Linked DNA regions of Arabidopsis thaliana. The protein of the gene in region 1 interacts with the protein of each later gene in a pairwise test. Each region holds a gene or a part of one and is shown on either strand. Other genes may lie near its edges.

Evidence for each region.
Region 2: the proteins of RABE1c (region 1) and AT4G17720 interact in a two-hybrid assay, tested with the Arabidopsis thaliana proteins (2 studies listed by BioGRID).
Region 3: the proteins of RABE1c (region 1) and PEX7 interact in a protein complementation assay, tested with the Arabidopsis thaliana proteins (one study listed by BioGRID).

The regions. Positions count from the first base shown.
Region 1 is NC_003074.8:16,913,041-16,922,381, reverse strand, and holds RABE1c (RAB GTPase homolog 8A), read right to left. Parts: upstream 4,856-9,341; 5' UTR 4,596-4,855; exon of another isoform or gene 4,480-4,595; 5' UTR 4,475-4,479; coding exon 4,402-4,474; intron 4,219-4,401; coding exon 4,146-4,218; intron 4,043-4,145; coding exon 3,942-4,042; intron 3,408-3,941; coding exon 3,342-3,407; intron 3,240-3,341; coding exon 3,142-3,239; intron 3,056-3,141; coding exon 2,993-3,055; intron 2,903-2,992; coding exon 2,810-2,902; intron 2,726-2,809; coding exon 2,642-2,725; 3' UTR 2,364-2,641; downstream 1-2,363. Other genes in the region: AT3G46070 (C2H2-type zinc finger family protein), read left to right, coding at 1,425-1,937; AT3G46050 (Galactose oxidase/kelch repeat superfamily protein), read right to left, coding at 5,198-6,310; RPS15AD (ribosomal protein S15A D), read right to left, coding at 6,853-6,951, 7,119-7,279, 7,359-7,491; HTB11 (Histone superfamily protein), read left to right, coding at 8,331-8,768; AT3G46020 (RNA-binding (RRM/RBD/RNP motifs) family protein), read left to right, coding at 9,132-9,168, 9,250-9,318. UniProt on the Arabidopsis thaliana protein: Involved in membrane trafficking from the Golgi to the plasma membrane.
Region 2 is NC_003075.7:9,861,697-9,868,507, reverse strand, and holds AT4G17720 (RNA-binding (RRM/RBD/RNP motifs) family protein), read left to right. Parts: upstream 1-3,844; 5' UTR 3,845-4,009; coding exon 4,010-4,015; intron 4,016-4,661; coding exon 4,662-4,765; intron 4,766-4,856; coding exon 4,857-4,932; intron 4,933-5,019; coding exon 5,020-5,100; intron 5,101-5,173; coding exon 5,174-5,848; 3' UTR 5,849-6,143; downstream 6,144-6,811. Other genes in the region: AT4G17740 (Peptidase S41 family protein), read left to right, coding at 75-143, 215-333, 425-500, 577-618, 712-820, 920-1,017, 1,099-1,192, 1,295-1,420; SYP23 (syntaxin of plants 23), read right to left, coding at 1,791-1,812, 1,984-2,083, 2,167-2,324, 2,406-2,480, 2,553-2,692, 2,775-2,868, 2,958-3,157; AT4G17718 (Defensin-like (DEFL) family protein), read left to right, coding at 6,513-6,561, 6,656-6,811.
Region 3 is NC_003070.9:10,220,902-10,226,990, reverse strand, and holds PEX7 (peroxin 7), read right to left. Parts: upstream 2,177-6,089; 5' UTR 2,069-2,176; coding exon 1,115-2,068; 3' UTR 669-1,114; downstream 1-668. Other genes in the region: AT1G29250 (Alba DNA/RNA-binding protein), read left to right, coding at 2,399-2,518, 2,801-2,849, 3,083-3,145, 3,246-3,310, 3,435-3,530. UniProt on the Arabidopsis thaliana protein: Receptor required for the peroxisomal import of proteins containing a C-terminal PTS2-type peroxisomal targeting signal. Specifically binds to cargo proteins containing a PTS2 peroxisomal targeting signal in the cytosol.

The sequences.
Region 1 (9,341 bases):
TTAATCTTCAAGTTTGGATCGTTCTAATAAGTAGTTATGATTCCTAAATGTTCTCAAAGTTTTTCTTGTTTTCAGTTTTTTTTTTTGGCACCCGTTATCTTTAGATTATAGACTAATATTAAAAGAATTATCAACTATTCAAATTTTTAATCGTCAAACTAGAGATTGAATCATTGCATTGAGATTTGAATAATGTGTCGAATATAAATAATGAAGTTAAAATTAATTTAAACAGTCAAACTAGCACATAAAATAAATAGGTAAGATGCTTAGAGAAGTCTGTGTGTAGTAAACTTCAACAATAAAATGTTTCTATTAATTTTAATTTTATATGTATTCTTATATTAGATATTAGCTAAATGCTTACAGATATAACATCCTTGTCTCTATTTGCTTATTTAGTGGGAGATGAATATGAGAGATAAACCTAATTTGTGAATAAAAACATGTGAAGAGATTTGTGGTAAGAAGAAACCGCGTGGAAGTGTATCAAAAATGTCGCATCAAACCACTCTCTCATTTTCTTTTTTTCTTCTGCTTTGCTTCTAATAGTTTCCCTCTAGTTTCCGTACAACCACTATTTTCACACTTTTTATTCGTTCCCTTCTCGGTGACTCGTGCGAGAGCCACACACCTCTACTTGTCCCTCATTTACGTACGTTACTGTGACAAAATCTTAGTTAGATAATGACACGATGATCTTCTCAAGTCTTGAGTTCTATTGATCATTGCGAATAAAAAGACGTAGGTCAGAAGATTCCGAAGTATATACAAATGAATAATATGCGTGTAAGTGTAATTACTAGGACATGAGTTTCACAAATAAACTGAACATAAATATTGACTATCGAACCAACAAAAAGTTCTAGAAGTATGTCGACTATGAATAAGTTTTTTTCTTTTTCTTGGTGATAAATGAATACGGATAAGTTACGTACCAAGTAGATTTGCCCAATCTCAAATAGTAAAAGGCGGCTTAAGAAGGAACACGAACCCGAAGAGACCGCGTTAGAATAAAATATTTATTAAGATAATTACAATATTTTTTATATATAATATACATATTTATATATTAATTAAAACTTGTTTTTTTTATAAAAATAATTAAAACTGGTTATAGTACGTCTTTCAATATTTGTCTAATTAGTGGAGGAAAGCAATAAGAATATATTCTTTCACAAATGAATATTTCCATTTTTCCGAGTTTTTAGTGTTAAAGCGGTGACTCTGATTTTCTACATGTACATCTTTACACCGCAGCTTCAATTTTTACTAACTTAGGCAGCAAGTCTTGAGAGGGTATTTTCGTCAATTAAAACCGTCTTTACTCAATCCAGTCTCCTATATATAAGAGGAGTGAGTCAACACACACAAGCATAAAACAAAACCCTAGAAAGTCACTCGCTCGATTCGAAACTAAAATCATGGTTGCTGAAAGTGATAATCGTGATCTGACGGTGGATACGGCGGCGAGCTGTCTGATGTTGTTATCAGGAATTGGAGAACACGACGGAAGAAAGAAACGTGTTTTCCGATGCAAGACTTGTGAGAGAGACTTCGATTCGTTCCAAGCTTTAGGAGGCCACCGTGCAAGCCACTCGAAACTAACCAACAGTGACGATAAATCACTTCCTGGATCACCAAAGAAGAAGCCTAAAACTACGACTACGACGACGGCTCATACTTGTCCGATTTGTGGCTTGGAGTTTCCGATGGGACAAGCTCTTGGTGGTCACATGAGGAAACATAGGAACGAGAAAGAACGAGAAAAGGCTTCTAACGTATTGGTTACGCATTCTTTCATGCCGGAGACGACAACGGTGACGACTTTGAAGAAATCGAGTAGTGGGAAGAGAGTGGCGTGTTTGGATTTCGACTTAACTTCGGTGGAGAGCTTTGTCAACACGGAATTGGAGTTGGGAAGAACGATGTACTGATTTTTCATGTTCGTTAGGGTTTTAGTTTTATTGATAATCTTACATAGAGTAGTACTTTTTACATGGTTTTAGTCTTTGTTGATCCATTTATCTTACTATTCGATGTGAATACATGATCTGAATACAATCTGATATACTATTCAAGATTTATTTTCTTGTTCGCTAAATTTTGGTTTCACGTTTTATTAACCCTAGAATGTTGTTGAACTATGAGAATGGTTTAACTGGTGTTGAAACTACAATATAAGTGTCAGCTATAGTAACTGTAGTGCAACTAAAACATGATAAGTTTCTTCATCACTGGATTGCTAACACAATTATACGTTTACGACTCATAAATCAGGCAGTGTACATATTATGGTTTTGTATTGCTTATGGTTGTGTCAAAGATGAGTTTACGAGTATTAGAAGTAATGTTTAAAGACTTGATAAAAGAGGAAGCAAGAGAAAAATTAAGAACAGAGGATATATAGAGAGAAGTGATGACCAACATAAACAATTCAGTCACCGTCATAAAAAATCAGTAATAGAAAAGAAAAATACAAGTTTCGATTAAACCTTCGTACAAATAGGAAGGACAATTTAGAAGAACGAATCAGAATTGTTGGCATAAAACAAAAAATTACATAAGCACCCAACGATATCTTAGTTTTTCACTTCACCCCCAAACTTTTTTCGACTTAAACTTCACTTTTAAAACTTTTTTAAGTTCCACAGCATGCAGATTTCTGTGTGGCCTGCCCTGCTCCAGCTGCTTGGTCCGTTTGGCTTATCTTGATCGTTGCAGGCTGCAATTGACCACGTAACATGAATGATCAATGCGTTTTCAGACCTAACAACGCAAAGATGTGAAAGAGAGAGATGTAACAAACCTCTGCCCTCGAGTCGGTGTCTGAAAGCCTCTGCTTAATGTCCCTCCCTATTGAGAAGAAAACTTCTTCCACGTTTAGGTTTGTCTTGGCACTCTGCAACAACAACACATATATAGCTAGATGTGTAAGCAATGTAAACACTACCCATCTAGTTTCGAAGATTGAGAGCATTGTTAGACTTACTGTTTCGAAGAACTTAATTCCGTACTCATCAGCAAGAGCCTGACCCTTTGCTGTAGGTACTGCCTGAAAATTTTGACAGGACCAAGAAGCTATTATTATTAGGATCAGTCGTGAATAAGGAACAGGGATAAAGGTGGTGTGCTTCATACCCTCTTGCTTTCATCCATGTCAGCCTTGTTCCCTACCAAGATCTTGTTAACATTATCCGAAGCATGCTGTTCGATATTACGAATCCAGTTCCTAATGTCTGCAATAACGTCAAGAATCGTGTTAGTAAAAGAGATGTTCATTTTGGTTAAGGAGATTTATAGAAACCAGTAAGTGAAAGACTTGATGGTGGGAGTTTTACTGTTGAAGGATGACTCGTCTGTGACATCATACACCAGCAAAATGCCCATTGCCCCACGGTAATAAGCTGCGAAAATGCGAGAGAAAAAGAATCGTCAAAATGGTGTTGAAACAACAGAAACAGATCAGTATAAACTGCCTAAATATCCTAATAATATCAACTAGACAGTACCTACAAAAGTAACCAGCCAAAAAGAGCAAATCAGTAAATTGGCATTGCACAAATGCATCCCCTTTACCTAGAACTATAAGTGGCTATCTTAGACTACTTATAGGCGTTTGTCATCAATCTCATCTTGACAATCTTTCTAACTTGACTTCTATTGTGATGGTGAATGCTAAGCAAAGTGATCAGTGAGTACATTTATACGAAAAGATGAACTATGAAGTGTCGAAAATAGCCCATAAACATCAACTATACAAGACCAAGTAAAGTAATCAGCCAAACAAAATAAATCAGTCAAGTGGCATTGTACAAGAGATCATAGCACATGTAAGTGTTCATCTCCTCGAGAATCTATCTAATCTGATTCATTACTGATGTTGTGAATGCTCTAAGTACTAATCCAGCAAGCAATTCTTATGAAAAAGATGAACTCACCAGTGGTGATAGTCCGAAACCGCTCTTGACCAGCGGTATCCCAAATCTGAAGCTTGATACGTTTACCGTCAAGCTCAATCGTTCTTATCTTAAAGTCAATGCTACATCAAAGCAAAATAGAGAAACAAGACTCTGTAAAAACAGAATCCAAAACAAACATCACAGAATTCAATTTATCTCCATAAGCAAAGAGAAAACACAAACCCAATGGTGGTAATGAAGCTAGTGGTGAAAGATCCATCAGAGAAACGTAGAAGAAGACAACTTTTACCAACACCTGCAACAAAAAAAAAAAACCTTAGGTTACAGAGATCTCTCAATACAAACACCGATCCACACAACGATCTAATCACAAACAAAAATCACAGTGGAATAGATCGATTCAATGGAAATCAAACAGATTCAACAAATTTCAACGGATCGACGATAAAAACATCGGAGAGGTTTCAGATCAACGTACCGCTATCTCCAATCAAAAGAAGCTTAATGAGATAATCGTAATCAGCTCTGGCTCTAGCAGGTGGAGCAGCCATTGAATCTAAAGGAAACAAAAACTCAAAGATCAAAATCTGAGTTTCATCGAAATCGAATTAGATCAAACAAAAGAGGGAGAAATCGAATGAATCGGCTGCGGGAAAGAAGAAGATCATGTACCGGAGAGAGAAGAAAACCGATGTAATCGGAAGAATCAGAGAGCGAAGGTTATGGCGGACGACTAAAATGCGCCAGTTCCCGATTTAGCTTTTGTTTCCCGGCTTCTTCTATTTTACTTCTTCTTCGTCTGCTTCGCGTGCACGATAGGATACACTGCGCACGTTAGTTGGAAACGAAGGAGTGCGCAGAAAAAGAGAGAAGGATTCTTTTTTGAAGGGCCTATATAGAAAGAAGAAGGCACGAAGCCTTATGGGCCTTTTATTAATTACTTTAAAATCAATTAGCTGGACTAAAACAATGCTATAGTAATTTTTATTTTTATATTTGGTATCAAATACTACTACTGTATACTAATGTAATCTGAAGTCATCTTTGGAAATATATACTACTACTATACAACTATACTTTTCAACAATATATAACTCTTTCATAAGAAGTGTGTTGATGTTTATGTTCTTACGCAACTGCATATTTATTAGAGATACATAAACACCACCAGTATTTTCGTTCATTATCATAAAATCTATACTCAAGATGTTCTAAACAAAATCCCCACAAAAGAATTTAAAACTCTCTCAAAAATTAACATAAACTTCCATTGATCAATATGTCACAATGGTAGAATTCAAGAAGAAATCAGAAAGAGAAGCAGGTAACTTATAAGTTTTGTAGTCATCCTTAGTAAAGACATTCTTAGACCATTCAACAAATCCACAAACCTTTCCAACACCGCGTCTCTCAAACGAAATCTCTGCACACCAAATCTCTGTTTTACATTCCTTAGTCCATTTGGGACCTAGACGATGTAACACAGCCGACTCCCACCAAACTGTTACTCTTCTTCCTCGGTCGGAATGTGCCACCGAGGTAAGATAACCAGGAGAAGTTGGCCTATTGGGAAGTCCTTCAAGTCCATCAACCGGACACCACCCACGATCTTCCTCTGGTTCACACCAAACTAACACCCCTTCACAAACCTTTGTTTGGCACATCATGTTCTCTATCTCCACCAAGCAAATATTCTTCTGAAAGTTAAGCTTCAATCCATTCATGTCATAAACTTTCCCACTCATTACCAAGCTACCTGGAACCACACTCATTTGAACAGTAAGATCTAGTGTTGTGGGCAATACTGGCTCCCAAGTTTGGGTCTTTGGGTCATAAACCTCTCCCCAATCCTCGATATTGTTGGAACTAGAGCCTCCAATCACGTAGATCTTATCGTTGATTACATCAGCTGCTGCGTTTTGTCGAGGTACACGCATCTCGGGGAGTCTACGCCATCCATGAGATGGACAATCGAGTACTATCAATCTCCTGCTACTATGTCCATCAACGAAGCCTCCGATTATGTAAATCTTTGAACCGATTGATACAACGGTTGAGGATTGACAAGTAACCGAAGGGATAGGTTTCAGTTTCTGTTTGGTAATCGGGGAAACTATAAACCATCGTGGAGGACAGTCTGGATAGCAATTCCTATGCAGGTCTAAGCAGACGTAGAGGAAACTCTCGGTTTTTCCGATGCAAGATCGTGTTGCGTGGAGCTCACGGGAGTCTAGGAGTGATCGGAAACCCTTGCAGACTAGGGATAGAGTTGGATAATGGAATCTGGAGACACGAGCCAAACAGTTGAGAACGATGTCGTCCGGTAACGAAGAAAACGACGTCGGAGGCGGTGAGTTTGATGATTTATTCTTCTCTTTCGTCGTCATTGTCTTCTTAGTTTTTTTGTTTCTGGTAAACGTCTTCTTAGGTTTTTGATTTAGGGTTTTTGTGCGTTATTAGTTATTTCCTTCAAATTTATTAACGAAGAATACCTAAAATTATACCTATGTAGCATAGAAACCTTGTTGGAAGGAAAACTATTAAATTTTGTTTCTTAGAATTTTAACTTATTTTGTCAGTATTTCTAAAATCTTTTTCGAATTTTCACAGTTCCCTCAGAGATTTGTTTGTATTTTGATGAACATTGTAAATGAAAAACATATTAAAATGTTTTAAGAAAACAAACAAGAAGAGCACGAGACTAAAATGAGTAAATGCCACATATAACGATAAGTCAAGAAAGATGATTTTGATTTCATAAATCGCAAGTCTAACGAATTCAAAAACTGAAATTAATTAGTCTACTCATCTCCAAGTTTTTACGTATCCGAGTGACCACAACATATAAAACTACTACTTTGACAGTGAGGTCAATCGACTTACAGAGAACCAAACTATAACCCGATAAGATAGATCTCGAGACCCTGCTTCAGTAAAAGAACCCAAGAACTTTGCCACCAACGTTCTTTCTCCTAGCTTCTTCATGATCCATGATTCCCGCTGAGGTCGTCAGAACAATGAAACCAAACTGCACATAGAGAAGTGTTCAATGAAGTTGTAACATTGAAAGATAAAGTAAGGCAAAGTAATGACACTAAACATCCAATTAAACCATAATAGGAACAGCAAAGTAAGGCAGCAGATCAATAGCTAAAACATTGATTGGTACCACTACTATATAGTCTCTAGACTAACCTGTCTGGAAGGAAGTAGACGAGCAGTCCATCCTTCAATCTCCTTAACACCGACATCGAAACGAGGACTGATAACTCCACACTTGTTCAGCCTTCCATTAAGCTCAACAACAATCTTACCAGACCTGTGGTCATCAACATACTCAAACTCGCCAATGTAACCTAAAAACCAAGAAGCATCATTACACTTGAAAACTGTATACAGGAATCAAACGCTAGCTCTGCAAAGTTACTAGCATACCGTGCTTTTGCATGACGATAAGGAACTTGATGATAACTTTAGAAGAAGGCCTGATCATAACCTGCCTCTTTCCTCTCTTCTCTGCATTGTACATACTCTTAAGACCATCATTGAGCACACTGATTCTCACCATTCTTCAAAATTTCAAAAACTGCAAAAACATAAATCAACAGCTTCACGAATCTTATTGACATGTACATAAAAACATCTACAGAGGGAACGAATTCGATTCCCTAAAAATTACACACTCTGAAAATGACATTGGAATCTAGATTCTCTGGAGAAACATCAAATTGGGGAGATTAACTAAGCCGGTGTTCCAACAAAACAATAAAGCAGTTCATCGGATTAGAGGAGAGATGGAGATTCCGGCGATTACTAACCTGAAACCTAAGTAGTAGCCGCCGCTCCGACGTCTCTTGCTCGCTTGGCCTTGAAAAAGAGATTAAACAGAAGACGGAACTATTTTTAGGGTTTTCGCTTTTATCGCTTTCACGGGACAGATTCATGTATAACTAAGCCCATTATAAATACATAACTAGGCCCATTATTGATACATAATTAGGCCCATTTGTAACCAAACATGGACTTTGTATCAACATTGATGGCATTCTCTTAACTGATTCACGTCTAGGACTAACAGATTATTATTTAGGTATTAAGCCCATTTTAGCCCGTTAAAAGATAAAACTCGAAATTAATTTTGATTCGCTGCTTAATGGCCCATTTAAAAAGGTGAGAGATGCTTAGCCGTTCACTGCCAACGACGGATTTATTCTAATCTAACGGTACGTAATATATTCCACGTCATCAATCCTCGTGAAACGAGAATTAACCAATCTGTATCTAATTCATGGTCATATATATACATGAGCTACCGAATCGTCTAAACAACAAACACAAAACTTGATCTCACGACTCCATCTTCTAAAATTCAGAATCTTTCTTTGAAACTTTTTTCGTGTGAAGAAAATGGCACCAAAGGCAGAGAAGAAGCCGGCAGAGAAGAAACCAGTAGAGGAGAAATCAAAAGCCGAGAAAGCTCCTGCAGAGAAGAAACCAAAAGCCGGCAAGAAACTCCCGAAGGAAGCCGGTGCCGGCGGCGATAAGAAGAAGAAGATGAAGAAGAAGAGTGTTGAGACGTACAAGATCTACATCTTCAAGGTTCTGAAACAAGTTCATCCAGATATTGGTATTTCAAGCAAAGCTATGGGGATTATGAACAGTTTCATCAACGACATCTTTGAGAAATTGGCATCGGAATCGTCGAAGCTCGCGAGGTATAATAAGAAGCCGACGATTACTTCTCGGGAGATTCAGACTGCTGTTAGACTTGTTCTTCCTGGTGAGCTTGCGAAACATGCTGTTTCTGAAGGAACTAAGGCGGTGACTAAGTTTACTAGCTCTTGAATTGTGGATCTTGTTGAAATCGATGTTTGTAAAATTAGGGTTTTTTAGATTTGATGGTTGTTGTTGACTCTTTGATCGATTTCTGTTTCGTTTTCTTGTTGCGATGTTAATCAAATCGGATCCGATTTCTTTCTTAAATCAAATCTATCAAGTAAAATCTTTTGCTGAAACGTCTGCTAAATTATCTCTTCTTCACTGCAAATGAATCGGTTGTTGAATTAGCCTCTCGCAGCATTTAAAAACGTCGTCGTTTCGTTGGGTATCTGTGTTTCTTCTGAAAACGGCGTCGTCCGCTCGAGCATTTAACCTAGAAAAGCTTTATTTTTGAGTCATTTCCGAAATCCGTTTGGATTACTGTTAAAGATGGCTAAGAGAATCTCAGCTCAACTCTTCGTAAGCAGTACGAGAATGGTTTCTTCTTTCTGATTTTAGTCTCTTGCTCTTTTTACTTGCTCTGGTTTCTGAAATTGTTCTCTTGCAGGGTTATCTGCTTATACCACAGATCAATCTCTGAGGCAATTGTTCTCTCCTTTTGGTCAAATCAAAGAAGGTAAAAACCTGAAATTGAATTTG
Region 2 (6,811 bases), on another chromosome or scaffold:
TTTGAAAAATCTAAGTGTGACGAGTTAATGGTTCTGAAGTAAGAAATGATGATAATGCTTTGGTTGAAATGCAGGGGACCTGAAGGAAGTGCAGTGGAGCTAGCGATTCGCAGTGGACCTGAAACGAGACTCTTAACTTTGACGTATTTCTCTCATGCCTACATTTATCTTCGTTGTCACGTTCATTTGGTAACTACAATTGTTGTTATTTCAGGCGAGAGCGGGTTTCTGTGAATCCAGTGAAGTCAAGATTATGTGAACTTCCTGGTTCTGGGAGTAACTCCCCTAAGATTGGCTATATCAAGCTAACAACATTCAATCAAAATGCTTCTAGTATGTATTCTTTGGCATTACTGATTCCTTCTTACAAATTTATCTACTCTCTAGTTTATTATCTCTCAAAGTCTTAACACTTTTTTTGTAGGTGCGGTAAGGGAAGCTATTGAAACCTTGAGAGGCAACAATGTAAACGCATTCGTCTTGGACCTTCGAGACAATAGGTGATGATTTTTTGAGAACATAAACTCTTTTTTGCTTTTGCAACAGCCTTTCTTAAAAAAATTGTTCTTGCTGCAGTGGAGGTTCTTTCCCAGAAGGAATTGAGATTGCTAAATTTTGGTAATAACCTCATAAACCGTTACATATAACGAATTAGAAAATTTCAAGATCCACAGCTATCATAATAGAAACTTCAACATTTGCTATCCACAGGTTAGATAAAGGAGTGATTGTGTATATTTGCGATAGTCGAGGTGTTAGAGATATATATGATACTGATGGAAGCAATGCTATAGCAACCTCTGAGCCTCTTGCCGTTCTTGTATGAGCTTCCATCCTTCCTTTCCTCAAATCTAGTCCTTATTGTAATCTGTAAATGCCATGAAAGATTTCATTCTCACACAATCTTTCTCTTTTCCAGGTTAACAAAGGCACCGCGAGTGCCAGCGAGATATTAGCAGGTGCCTTGAAAGATAATAAACGTGCTCTGGTTTATGGAGAACCAACTTACGGAAAAGGGTAAACAAAATGGCGCTATTTTTTATTCTTCTTCTCAGAGACCGAACCGTAAAATTCCTGAGACTTTAACGCATTTTGCAGCAAGATACAGTCGGTTTTTGAGCTTTCTGATGGTTCGGGCTTGGCAGTAACAGTTGCTCGATATGAAACACCAGCTCACACAGATATAGACAAAGTATGAAACTACTTTCTTCCTGTAGTAACCCCCTCTGTGTCTACACTACACTACATACAAACATGTTCTTACAGTCTTGACTCGTTGCTGGTTGTTGTATAGGTCGGTGTAACTCCTGATCATCCATTGCCAAAGTCGTTTCCGAAAGATGAAGAGGCGTTCTGTGGATGCCTTAAGGATCCTACAGCTGCTTGTTATCTCAATCAAGGCCTACTTTTTTCTAGATGATTTTGTTTTGTTCAAACTTTGTTCTGACAACATATGACTAAAATTTATTGACTCAAGCTTTGTACTTTTGAAGATTCGCCATAGCTTTAGCTAATCGAAACCAGAAATTTCACATTTAAGAACACAAACAGAGGATTTTCCTTCAGAACCAAGTTATATTACAGAGACAAAGCAGTAACACTCTCTCCTTCAGAACCAAGACTCAGCAAACACAAGCCAAATCAAACCAAAGTGAACTACTCTATATACTCGATAACAAGAAACAAGAGACCAATAGTCCAACAGACTAAATTGTAGGAACAAAGAGAGTCGTGACAAACATATACTCATTGATGCTTCTTGATTGATGATGAAGCACTTGTCCATGCTTTTATGAGCTTGGGGAAATCAAACTGCGAGCACTATAATAACAATCATGAGCACGATACCAAAAATCACCAAGAGCAAGCACGTCTACAAGAAAAAGAAAAAACAATGGAAAGAAGAAGTTAGTAGGCTGATCTGATCATCCAAAATCCTCAAAAACACATTTCATGGTACGATCAAAAGCTTTAATATATTACCAGAGAAGAATTTGATCTTTGTGTCTTTGATGCCTTACGAGATGGGATTTTCCTTGGGCAGTTGCAGCGTAAGAGTTATCGATGTGAGTACCAATATCATCTACACAAAAATAGGTCTTACGTCTTAGGTTTTGAAGACATAAGTGAGAGTTTTAGCATAACAAGAGTTGGAATCAGTTTTACCTATCATGTTTCCTTGATCGTGCACCAACACTGCCAAGTCTTTGAAGATCTCGTGCACCTCGCCAATTTGCTGCTGAATTTCTTGTATCCCTTGCTCTCTTTCCTCAATAACAGCCTCATTGAACGCAATCTCATTGTCCAACAGTACAAGTTCTTGTCTGCAACAAAAAACAACAAACCAATCAATAGATAACTCATCAACCGAACAAAGATGGACACCATTGTCTGTATAAACTAACCTTTTTGATTCCACAAGAAGGGCACGCTGCTCTGGATGCTTATCTCCATTCACATCTATCTCACTGGATGTGTAGCTACATTACCAAAGCCAGGAAATCAATACACAAAACCACAAAAGTAAACATAAACCATCAATGAGCATTAACCTTGAGGGAAGAGATGGCTTGTGGACAAGAGGAGCATATACGGTTTCTCTTTCAGCAGCAAGACGCTGAGCCTTTTGAAACTCTTTCAACACAGCTTGAAAGTCCTTTGCAAGCTTAGCATCCACAATCTTCTTCTTTTGCTAACCAACCAATCAAATTCCTATTAATCAACAGAAGTAGCAGAAGAAGAACAAGAATCTTCCTTTATCATAAATGACTCACATTTACACCTCTTTGATGATCAGTTTCACTAGCTTCTTTAAGTTTAGCTGATGTATCTTTCACTAACTGTCCAATATATAATCTTGTCTTATGCCTAAAACAAGCAAATTGACTCAATTAGAAACAATTTCAAGTACCCTAAAACTCAAAAAGGAGATAACTTTAACTTTGAGAAGTACTTACAGCTTCTCTCTGAGCTCAGGCGTATCTTTAGGAGTACCAAGAGTATTGACAAGACGATGGAAAGTGGAAACACTTGTATTGATCTGAAATATACCAGAAGCAACATCTTGAGTCGTGTCTTGTCTACTACCACCACCATTGATGTTCCTTGAAGAAGCTAATGATCTTCCTCTTCCCGCCTCTAAATCTTGAAAACTCATTCTTTCTCTCTCTTTCTCGAAAACCCCGCCACTAAATTATCCTCTTTTATTCGCCCAAGAAAACAAAGCAACAACAAAATTCGATTTACAGTCGATAACGGAGATCGAGGGAAGAGAGGATGTGATGGTGATTTCAAGATTCCCCGGTGAGTTTCTCTCTCTCCGGACAGATTGAGAAAAAACGTGAACCGCGGAGAGAGAGATTGAGCAAAACGTGAAATGTCACATTACCTGTATGAACGGAAAAAGCTTGTACTTTTTTCATTTTTTGATCCTTAACTTTTCTATAATATTCCAAACGTGACTCTATAGTTTAGAATCTTAACGGTATATCCTCCTTTTATTATAAAGTGATAAATGGTCTACGATGATTACATTGCTCTGAGCTCAGGACACGTGGATGGTAGACATTGGTGGAGAAAGTGATTATGTCACGACGTTAATTGATTATTTTAACCAAGATACTAACAGATTACGGATTAATTAGAATTAGATTAAGGATTATGATAGATTAGTCCAGAATTTAATGAATAAAATCTCTAGATAGAACTTTACGTGACTAAAAAGGGTCAAAAGCAAAAGAAGTTTAAAATTAGGACTCTTTTTTAATCATCGCACGTGAGAAGGTTCCGACCATATCACGTGCCAAACCCGAATAAGACTCGTTTTTCCAAGGCGTTTAAAATCAGGTCCCACTTTTTTCTTTTATTTTTCACTCTTCTTCACATCAAATCCGCGACCAGAGATTTTTCTTTCCTTTGATTTTTCGTTTCGTTTCGTTTCAAATATTGTTCCTCCTGTGTGAAGGAAAAACAATCTTCCATTTCAATCCGCGTCAACGCGATTTTCTTCATGACGGTGAGCTTATCTAATCTCTTCGCTTTTTGAAACTAGTTAGTTTTGGTTTTTGTTTTGGATTTATCCTGAGAAAGGTCGATGTTTTTGCTGTTGATTTGATTGAGGAAGATGTGAACAGATCTGTTGATTTTGATTGTTGTTTTCTAATTTGTTTTGCGAGAAATGGCGTTGATTATTAGTGAAGAATCGCTAGTTTTTTTATTTTAGAGGATTTGAAGCTGTTCTCTGTTTTTGATTTGGGTGAAAATTACTGTTTCTGATATGAAGAAATTTTTTTTTAGGGTAAAATTGCTTTTGTTTGGATTAGGATATTCACTTTAGCATTTGTTTTGTTTTGTAATCTGTTAATATCTGATCTGTGCCATAGGATTAGTTTTGAGACAAGTATTTGCTTTTCCTAGATTCTGAGGTTCTTTTTATCTTCTTGTATTGATGATGCAATGTTTCTGTGTTTTCTGATCATTGTATTGATAATATTGGTTGCTTTAGGAGTGTGTGTGTGTGTGTTTAGTCATTGTTTTAGGCGATAAGGAATCGAGAAATGTGTAATCGAACAACTAATGAATAAGTCTGAGATTTTGTTTAGCTGGTGAAATGGTTTGAAATTTTAGTTTTTAAGTCACACGAGATTATATTTCACTTGCAGATGACAACAGTTAAAGTGAGCAATGTTTCTCTAGGAGCAACCGATAGAGATCTCAAGGAGTTCTTTTCCTTTTCTGGCGATATTCTGTACCTTGAGACGCAGAGGTTTGGTTTCCTCTCTATTGTTCCTTTTGAAAGTTTTAGATTACAGCTTTTAGTTCGTCAGGTTCTTAACTCTTTTGACATGTTTGTACAGCGAGACTGAGCGGACTAAACTGGCATATGTCACTTTTAAGGATCTACAAGGAGCTGAAACTGCGGTTCTTCTCTCGGTATTTTTACTTCTTAGCCTGTATTAGTTCCTCTATATGACTGTATCCTTTGAGTGACTGAGTATTAATGTAATTCTTTCATTTCAGGGAGCAACGATTGTTGATTCTTCAGTCATTGTCTCTATGGCTCCTGATTACCAACTGTCCCCTGAGGCTTTAGCTTCCTTGGTAAGCTCGTAATTCATCATCTCTTCTGAGTTTTTTCACAAGTTAAAATCTTACCATTTCATCTTTTTCACAGGAACCCAAGGACAGCAATAAATCTCCCAAGGCAGGTGACTCCGTGTTGAGAAAAGCCGAAGATGTTGTGAGCAGCATGCTTGCAAAGGGCTTTATCCTGGGAAAAGATGCCATAGCTAAAGCCAAAAGTGTTGACGAGAAGCACCAGCTAACATCTACAGCATCAGCCAAAGTCGCATCTTTTGACAAGAAAATTGGTTTCACTGATAAGATCAACACAGGCACGGTGGTAGTGGGAGAAAAGGTCAGGGAAGTTGATCAGAAGTACCAAGTCTCAGAGAAAACCAAATCAGCAATCGCTGCAGCGGAGCAGACAGTGAGCAATGCAGGTTCAGCTATAATGAAGAACCGGTATGTTCTCACAGGTGCCACGTGGGTTACTGGAGCATTCAACAAAGTTGCTAAAGCTGCAGAAGAAGTTGGACAAAAGGCTAAAGAGAAAGTTGGTATGGCTGAGGAAGAGGATAAGAGGAAAGTGGTTGATGAGTTTGCTAGAGTTCACTTGTCTGAATCACCAAAGGCAGCTTCATCAACGCAAGAAGCCGAACGTGAATCAAAACTCTCTGAATCTCCTGAAGCAAAGAAAGATTCTGAACATCTTGAGCCACAATCGAAACCATTGCAGCAACAATCTCCTCCACCTATGGCTTCAGCTCCTGCTCCGGCTCAACCTTGAGATATGCAATCAAAGACCTTTCTGATTCTTGTTGTAAACGGTAAAACTTGGAACTAATCTCTCTCAGATTGTTGAAGATGAAGATTGAACTTGTTATTTAGGACGAAGACTTGTGTTCTTGTAACATTGGATTCATGGTCGATTTGGTAATTAGACCTTAAAAAGAAAACAATTTTGTTCTTTTCGTTTTTCTTAAACTTATTTAAACCGGGCTAATCATCATGGTTAACTGAACCAAATACCGATCGATTTTTATTTTAAAATCAAAAATTTGATTAGAGCAATTAGCCCGTCAAGTGATTTTATGTAACTGAAAGTAACAAACCAAAGTAGATGTTACAAACACATTTGACAGGAAACGCTTTGTCGGTGATCTAAGAACTCTAATTATAAGAAGATTTTAAGCACTTTAAATTCAAAGAAGTATCAATTAAGAATAAATGTATATATTGACATTTGACAAAACTAAAGGAATAAAATCTCGACCAGTTAAACGCATTTATCAAAATATTTTGTTCTCAAGTGAAAAAAGAACAGATTTATTCATGGTATAAAAGGAAAAAGACAATTCGTTTTCTCACAATTATATATTGTTTGTAAACACATCATCTTAATTGTGCAAACAATATCAAAATTATACAAATAGAAAAGAGCACAGAAAAAAATGGAGAAGTCAGCTTTGATATTCATCGGTATTCTACTTTTTTCAACATGTGAGTTTCACAACTAAATTTATGTACCAATTGTATTCATCATCCTTATCATGTCATGAGCGTTTCTATAAATCATTTCGGTGATTTTTAGCAGGTACATCGATTATGGCACGAACTGGATATGTATCTTGCAAGACGAATTCTGACTGTGTTAAACTCAAATGTCCAACGCCATTTGGTGGCCCCAAATGTATTAGCGGTAGTTGTGAATGCCCCTTTAAAGAACTCATGACATTACCGAATGATACCA
Region 3 (6,089 bases), on another chromosome or scaffold:
GGTACAATGCTACTGCATTGTAAATAAGACCGATGTTTTATTCCGACAATGATCTCTTCTTCGTATAATTTCTTAGGAATAATCTTCCATGCCACAAGTTTTATGGTCAGAAATATTCCTAAATGAAGAGCAGTCTACCACCTTCTTCTCTTTTAACAATTTCTAATCCTTCGCAACATCTTCCGCGTGCATCACAACAAAAGTAAAAGATCGTACATGTGTCATTTAAATTCACAAAATTTAATCTCTAGTTTTAACATAAAAAGTCAATACTAATGTGTGTCTATTACATATAGTATGTTCTTGACCTCGTGGATAAAGCAATATTATAGTTCACTTTAATACTATATGATATAATGTCAAGCCCTTTCATATGTTTAACCCAATTATTTGTCTGATTTGAATTTAGTCCAAAAGTTGAGACGGTTGTGAGTCTTGTGACTTGACAAAATGTGTTTTGAGATCTTTTGTTTGGGATCGGAGTACTATATTAAAAAAAAAATCATAAGAAAATAAAAGAATCTTTAATACTATGGAATAAGATAAAAAAGAGAGTGGTATAATAGTAAAGTAATAAGTAGAAAGTGATTCTTGAAATGGAAGATCCGTAAGAATGTTCTTGTGATTTTAATAAGCTTCTACCTGAAGACGCATAAAATGCAAAAGCTCGAAACTGCAATATGCTCTAGAAAGTTATAAATATGTACATTTATGCCACTCAATAAAGTCAATCAACTATGAAAAAGAACAAAATTCGAATTCTACAGTATACTATAAAAGGTACATTACCCTAAAGTAATTGACTTTATATATATTATGTCATTACTTTGGACATTATAGAAGATTAACATATATCTTAGTCCTAATATATATGTTAATCAGGTCTCATTGTAACAGGTTAACATATACACTAGAACATAAGCAATCTATCTACTATTACCATCAATCACAATTCGAAAGATAACCTTGTTCATATGTGAAACTCTCAGTAACTTACATTTCTTCTTAAGCAAGATCCCAACTTTATTCCAACTACATTCCTTTAACAAAAACCAAACCAATTCCACAACAAATAAAGATGAAACTGTTTTGCAATCACAAACTTACTTATGAATCAACTGGCTCTAGGATCCATCCCTTGCTGCCAAACATAAACAAGCTCATCCCAACCAGTACTCGCCATTAAACCTTCAACAAGAACACTCATATCGATCCCAACAGCAAACTCTGTATGATGATCATACCTACCAACCAAAGCATCTTCCACCATATAGTCCCAAAGACAAACACTCATATCATAAGAGCAAGAAGCTATCAAACTCCTCCTATGCGGCGAGAATTTCACCTTCCTCACCGCATATCCATGACCATTAAGCACAGCCAAAGGAACTCTATAACTCCTAACATCCCAAACCTTAACTGTCTTATCCACTGAAGAAGTAGCTAAAATACAATCATCATACTTATTCCAATCACAAGACAAAATCTCAAAATCATGAGCAGGGATGATCATAGTTGATCCAGGTTCTCTAACATCCCAAATCCTTAAAGTACAATCTCCAGAAGCAGAAGCAAACACATCACCATGTTTAGGATTCCAAACTGCTTGATAAACGCAATAAGCATGTTCCTTAAAAGTCCTTACACTCGCCGGACGATCCATAGCCCAAAGCTTAACCGTATCATCCCACGAAGAAGTGAGAAACGAATCGCGCCGCGTGGGATTGTAATCCACAGATTGAACCTCACGCGCGTGCTCTTGGAATGATCTAATCGGATTAGAAGGAGGAGGAAGAGCTGTGTCGTAAATCTTCACTGAGCCGTCACCAATTGCGGCGATGAGCACAGAGTCATGAGATTCTGACCAACATACGTCGTATACAGCGTCGGCTGTATCGTACGAGACGGATTCAGTTACGCCTGGAGCTCCAGGAGCGAGCTCGAGGACATGGATTCGGCCGTTTCCGAGAATTCCGAAGTTCTGAGCTGTAGCGACGGCGAGGCGTGACTCGTAGAATGGACTGAATTTCACAGAGTAGCCATTGAACGGAGCTTTGAACACCGGCATAGCTTCTTCTTCTTCTCCGGTGAGTGATTGAATCAAAAGAAGAGTCTTCTCGAAGATTCAATTCAACGATCTGATCGGATAACGCCGATTTTGCTCATCGCAGAATTAATTTTCCCCCCAATTGGGCCTATTGGGCTGGAGCCTAGCCCATTTGTGTAGGTTGTGTTAAAACGATGTCGTTTGGCATTTCAAGTTAGGGTTTTTTGGGGGTTTGGTTCAAGCTTCATCGTCGTCTCTCTGTCTCTTCAATTTCATTCGTTTTCTGAGATAAAAGTGAGAGAGAAATCTAAATTCGAGAGGAGAAGTTTTAATTTTTCTGAGTTAGATTCAATGGAAGAGATCACGGAAGGAGTTAACAACATGAACTTGGCTGTTGATACCCAGAAGAAGAATCGGATTCAAGTTTCCAACACTAAGAAACCATTGTTCTTCTACGTCAATCTCGCCAAGGTAACGAAACCCTTTTAATCGAATCTTAATAAATTCGTATTTAGATTGAAATCTATGGATTCGAAGTGTTCTTATTTGAGTACCAAGTCTGGAAATGTCTGTGATTGTTCATGAGTGTTAATTTATCTGTTATTGACTTTGATGAGTTATTACTGGTGGTTCTGTGTTGTTTATGTGACTCTTTATCAATGTTTGTTCCTTAGATTTGTGAACTTTGTTTTGCTCTTTAGATTTGATTAAACCTGTTTATGTTATTGACCATGTTTGGTGTTTTGTTAACAGAGGTACATGCAGCAGTACACTGATGTCGAATTGTCTGCACTAGGAATGGGTAATGTTTATTCTTTATGATCTTGTTTATATATCAAATCTAATATGTATGGTTTTTAAACTATGTAACTGAGTTCATTAAATTCAAAGTTATTATCAGAAAAGCTGTTTCCTTTTATTGTTATGACATAGAATCTTTTATCTTCTGTGATTTTGTAATATCTTATCCGAGCTTTCTTTATTGGAAGAGTTTATTCTGGTTTCTCATAAAACATTGATTTGTGCGTTGTGCAGCTATTGCCACTGTTGTTACGGTCGCTGAGATATTGAAGAACAATGGCTTTGCTGTTGAAAAGAGTAAGATCTTCTTAATCTTGAATGAGTTAATGTTAGCACAAGAGATTTGAAAGATTCAGTGACTAAGTTTTGCTTATTTGGATATTGTTTTTTCCTGCAGAGATCATGACATCGACTGTGGATATCAAGGATGATTCAAGGGGTCGTCCTGTGCAGAAAGCTAAGGTATATATTTTCGAATCATTTGATAAATTGCTTATGCTGTGGAATTCTAGCTTCCGTCTAATGATTTTTGTTCTCTGGGAAATTGCTATGTTGGTTGCTAAATTGGTGACACTGTGACTTGTAGATTGAGATCACGCTTGCCAAGTCTGAGAAGTTTGATGAACTAATGGCTGCAGCTAATGAAGAGAAGGAGGCTGCAGAAGCCCAAGAGCAAAACTAGATTGTTTCAAGTTTTTTCTGTTCAACGATCTTATTTCTTCGTTCCCTATCTCTATCTGCTTAATTTTAAGACACTTCTATTTCGTTAATTTTTGGTTCACTTTTTTATTTCACCTTGGATTGTGTCCTCTGTACCTCTGAGCATTTTTATTTAAAGATCGTAGGAAGTATAAAAAAGATGGCTTCGTTGCATAAATCAGCTTCCAACCTTATTATGTAGAGTAATACATGTAGTTGAAATTTTATTTTGAAGACTTGGAATCTGTCCATAAAAAAGGTTAGTGATATGGCTTATGGATAACAAATCACTATCTCTGGGATAATTGAACAAATGTAAGCCACATGATACATATGTGACATCATGAGCTATAAGTTATAACTAATGGCTATATCTAATTTTTTTCTTTTTGTCAGTTCTTTTAGTTTAACACTAAAACGTAACCATACTAGAAGAAATATAAGAAAGTATTATAGTGTGCAATAAGGTTATTACTTGCTAACTAATCACTTTGGTTCACATTCTTAGCACCAATAAACTATAATAATAGTATATTATAGTTCAATAGGATTTGACCAAATAAAAAGTTGTCAATTAGAAAAACAAAAAGAAGTTGTCAAATTCTGTTAAACTCTCAATTGCCATTTGTTAATTGCAGTCTGGGATGGGATTCCATTGCTTGATGATAATAGCTTTTGACTTTTACTGATTTAATTATTATGTCTGTACAATTAGTCAAGGCTAATTGATTGATGAGTGATTGGATTGAATGATAATGGACAAAGTTGAAATTAAGAGAATGAAGAAAAAGAAGAAGATGAAGTTATCTAAACAAATTAAATGAATGGAAAATCATTCTCTTAATTTCATTTTTGTCCATGATCACTTATCAGTTACTCCATAATTATTTTTTTCAAGATCAAAATATCACTCTCACCCTTTATCTTCATGTCCTCTACATATTTATCAATCTCTTTTCTCCTCTAACACAACTATTTTGTGCTGGAATTTGTTGACCAACACACCAACACAATCTATCAACCATAGTGAAACCTTCATTAAACGTAAATGAGATACATGATTAAGCTTAAACTAGGATTTAACCCGTGGTACACCACAGGAAAAATGTTTAATTCATATATATAATAATATTAAATTTTATGGTTTAAATTTAGTATTAAAGTTATATAATTTTATATAATATTGTAAATAAAAAATTTGGTGATGATAAAATAATAAATAAAGATTTAACTCGTGTTATATCAATCCAAATCCGTCCCGTTATATAACTCGTTTTATGATATTTTAATATTTTTTTATAAGGATAAATATTATTAATGTTTTATAAAGTTCATATATATCAATAATAATATACCGTTAATGCTAATTGATCCTCTTAAATAGGAATATTAGTGAGTAGTATATTTTAGTTTAGATTTGGAAAGATTTAAATAATTGTTGTGATATATTTATTTTAGTTTCCTAAATTTTAGTAACAAAATTAGTTTATATTTAGATTTGAAAATAAAATTGTTAAATATTAAATGCCAATGGCATTGGGTTGTAAATAAATCCCAACTTGAAGATTTATTTCATAAAAGTGTTGCAAAAATATATATATAGATACAAAATAAACTAAACCATAATTACTAACCAAACTAAACCATAACTAAACGAAGTATATACACTCTAATACAATCTTTTTATTACCATCACCGTTCAACACCACCTTTCCGTCCGGGTAATGCGAACGTGTTAACATTATTACAACACCATGTAAAAATATAGTTTCATGTTCGGTAAATTGATTTATAAACAACTAACCACAAATGTAGTCCATCCATATAATTTTTGTCGATGTAAGCGTGACTTATCTAATATTCATCATTATCCCGAAAAAATAACAATCACCCAACATTTTGTTCTTTATTTTCGCAAGAATCAAGAGTCAAGACTTACCTCCTGGTCCTCCTCTCATGAAGATGTTATAAGTTAAAACATGTCGTACATAATTTTATCGACGATATTCTATAAGATATAGCGTGTAAAACAAATTACCAACATACATGATTAATTGATTATGTTAGAGGGTTAAGTGAGGAAAAAAGAGAGAAGAAAAAATTGTTACTAAATTTCTAGAAACTAAATTTCATCAACCTAATTTCATCTTGTCTAGTGTTATTTTTTTCCGTCTAAAGATTTCATTCATTAGCTGCGGTAGAGATATACAAAACAGACAAGAACAAGATCTTTTCGGAGACAACATTGATGGGTACATAGAAACCTCCAAAGACTAAGACCCAAATTAAAGGGCAAACAAACATAAGGAGGAAAAGCTCCTAAAAGATAAGCTAATGAGAGAACATGTAAAAGGACTCCATAATAGCAACACAACTCTTCCTCACAAGCCACCGACAAGCATTTCCAAAGAATTTGTAAGTCTAGTGTTGCCTAACTAATTTTATTTTGATTTTTAACAATTAGTAATAAATAAATGAAATCAATAGTTGGTCAAAAATTAAAAAACAATAATTGGCATTTGGCACTGTTAGCATGCAAATA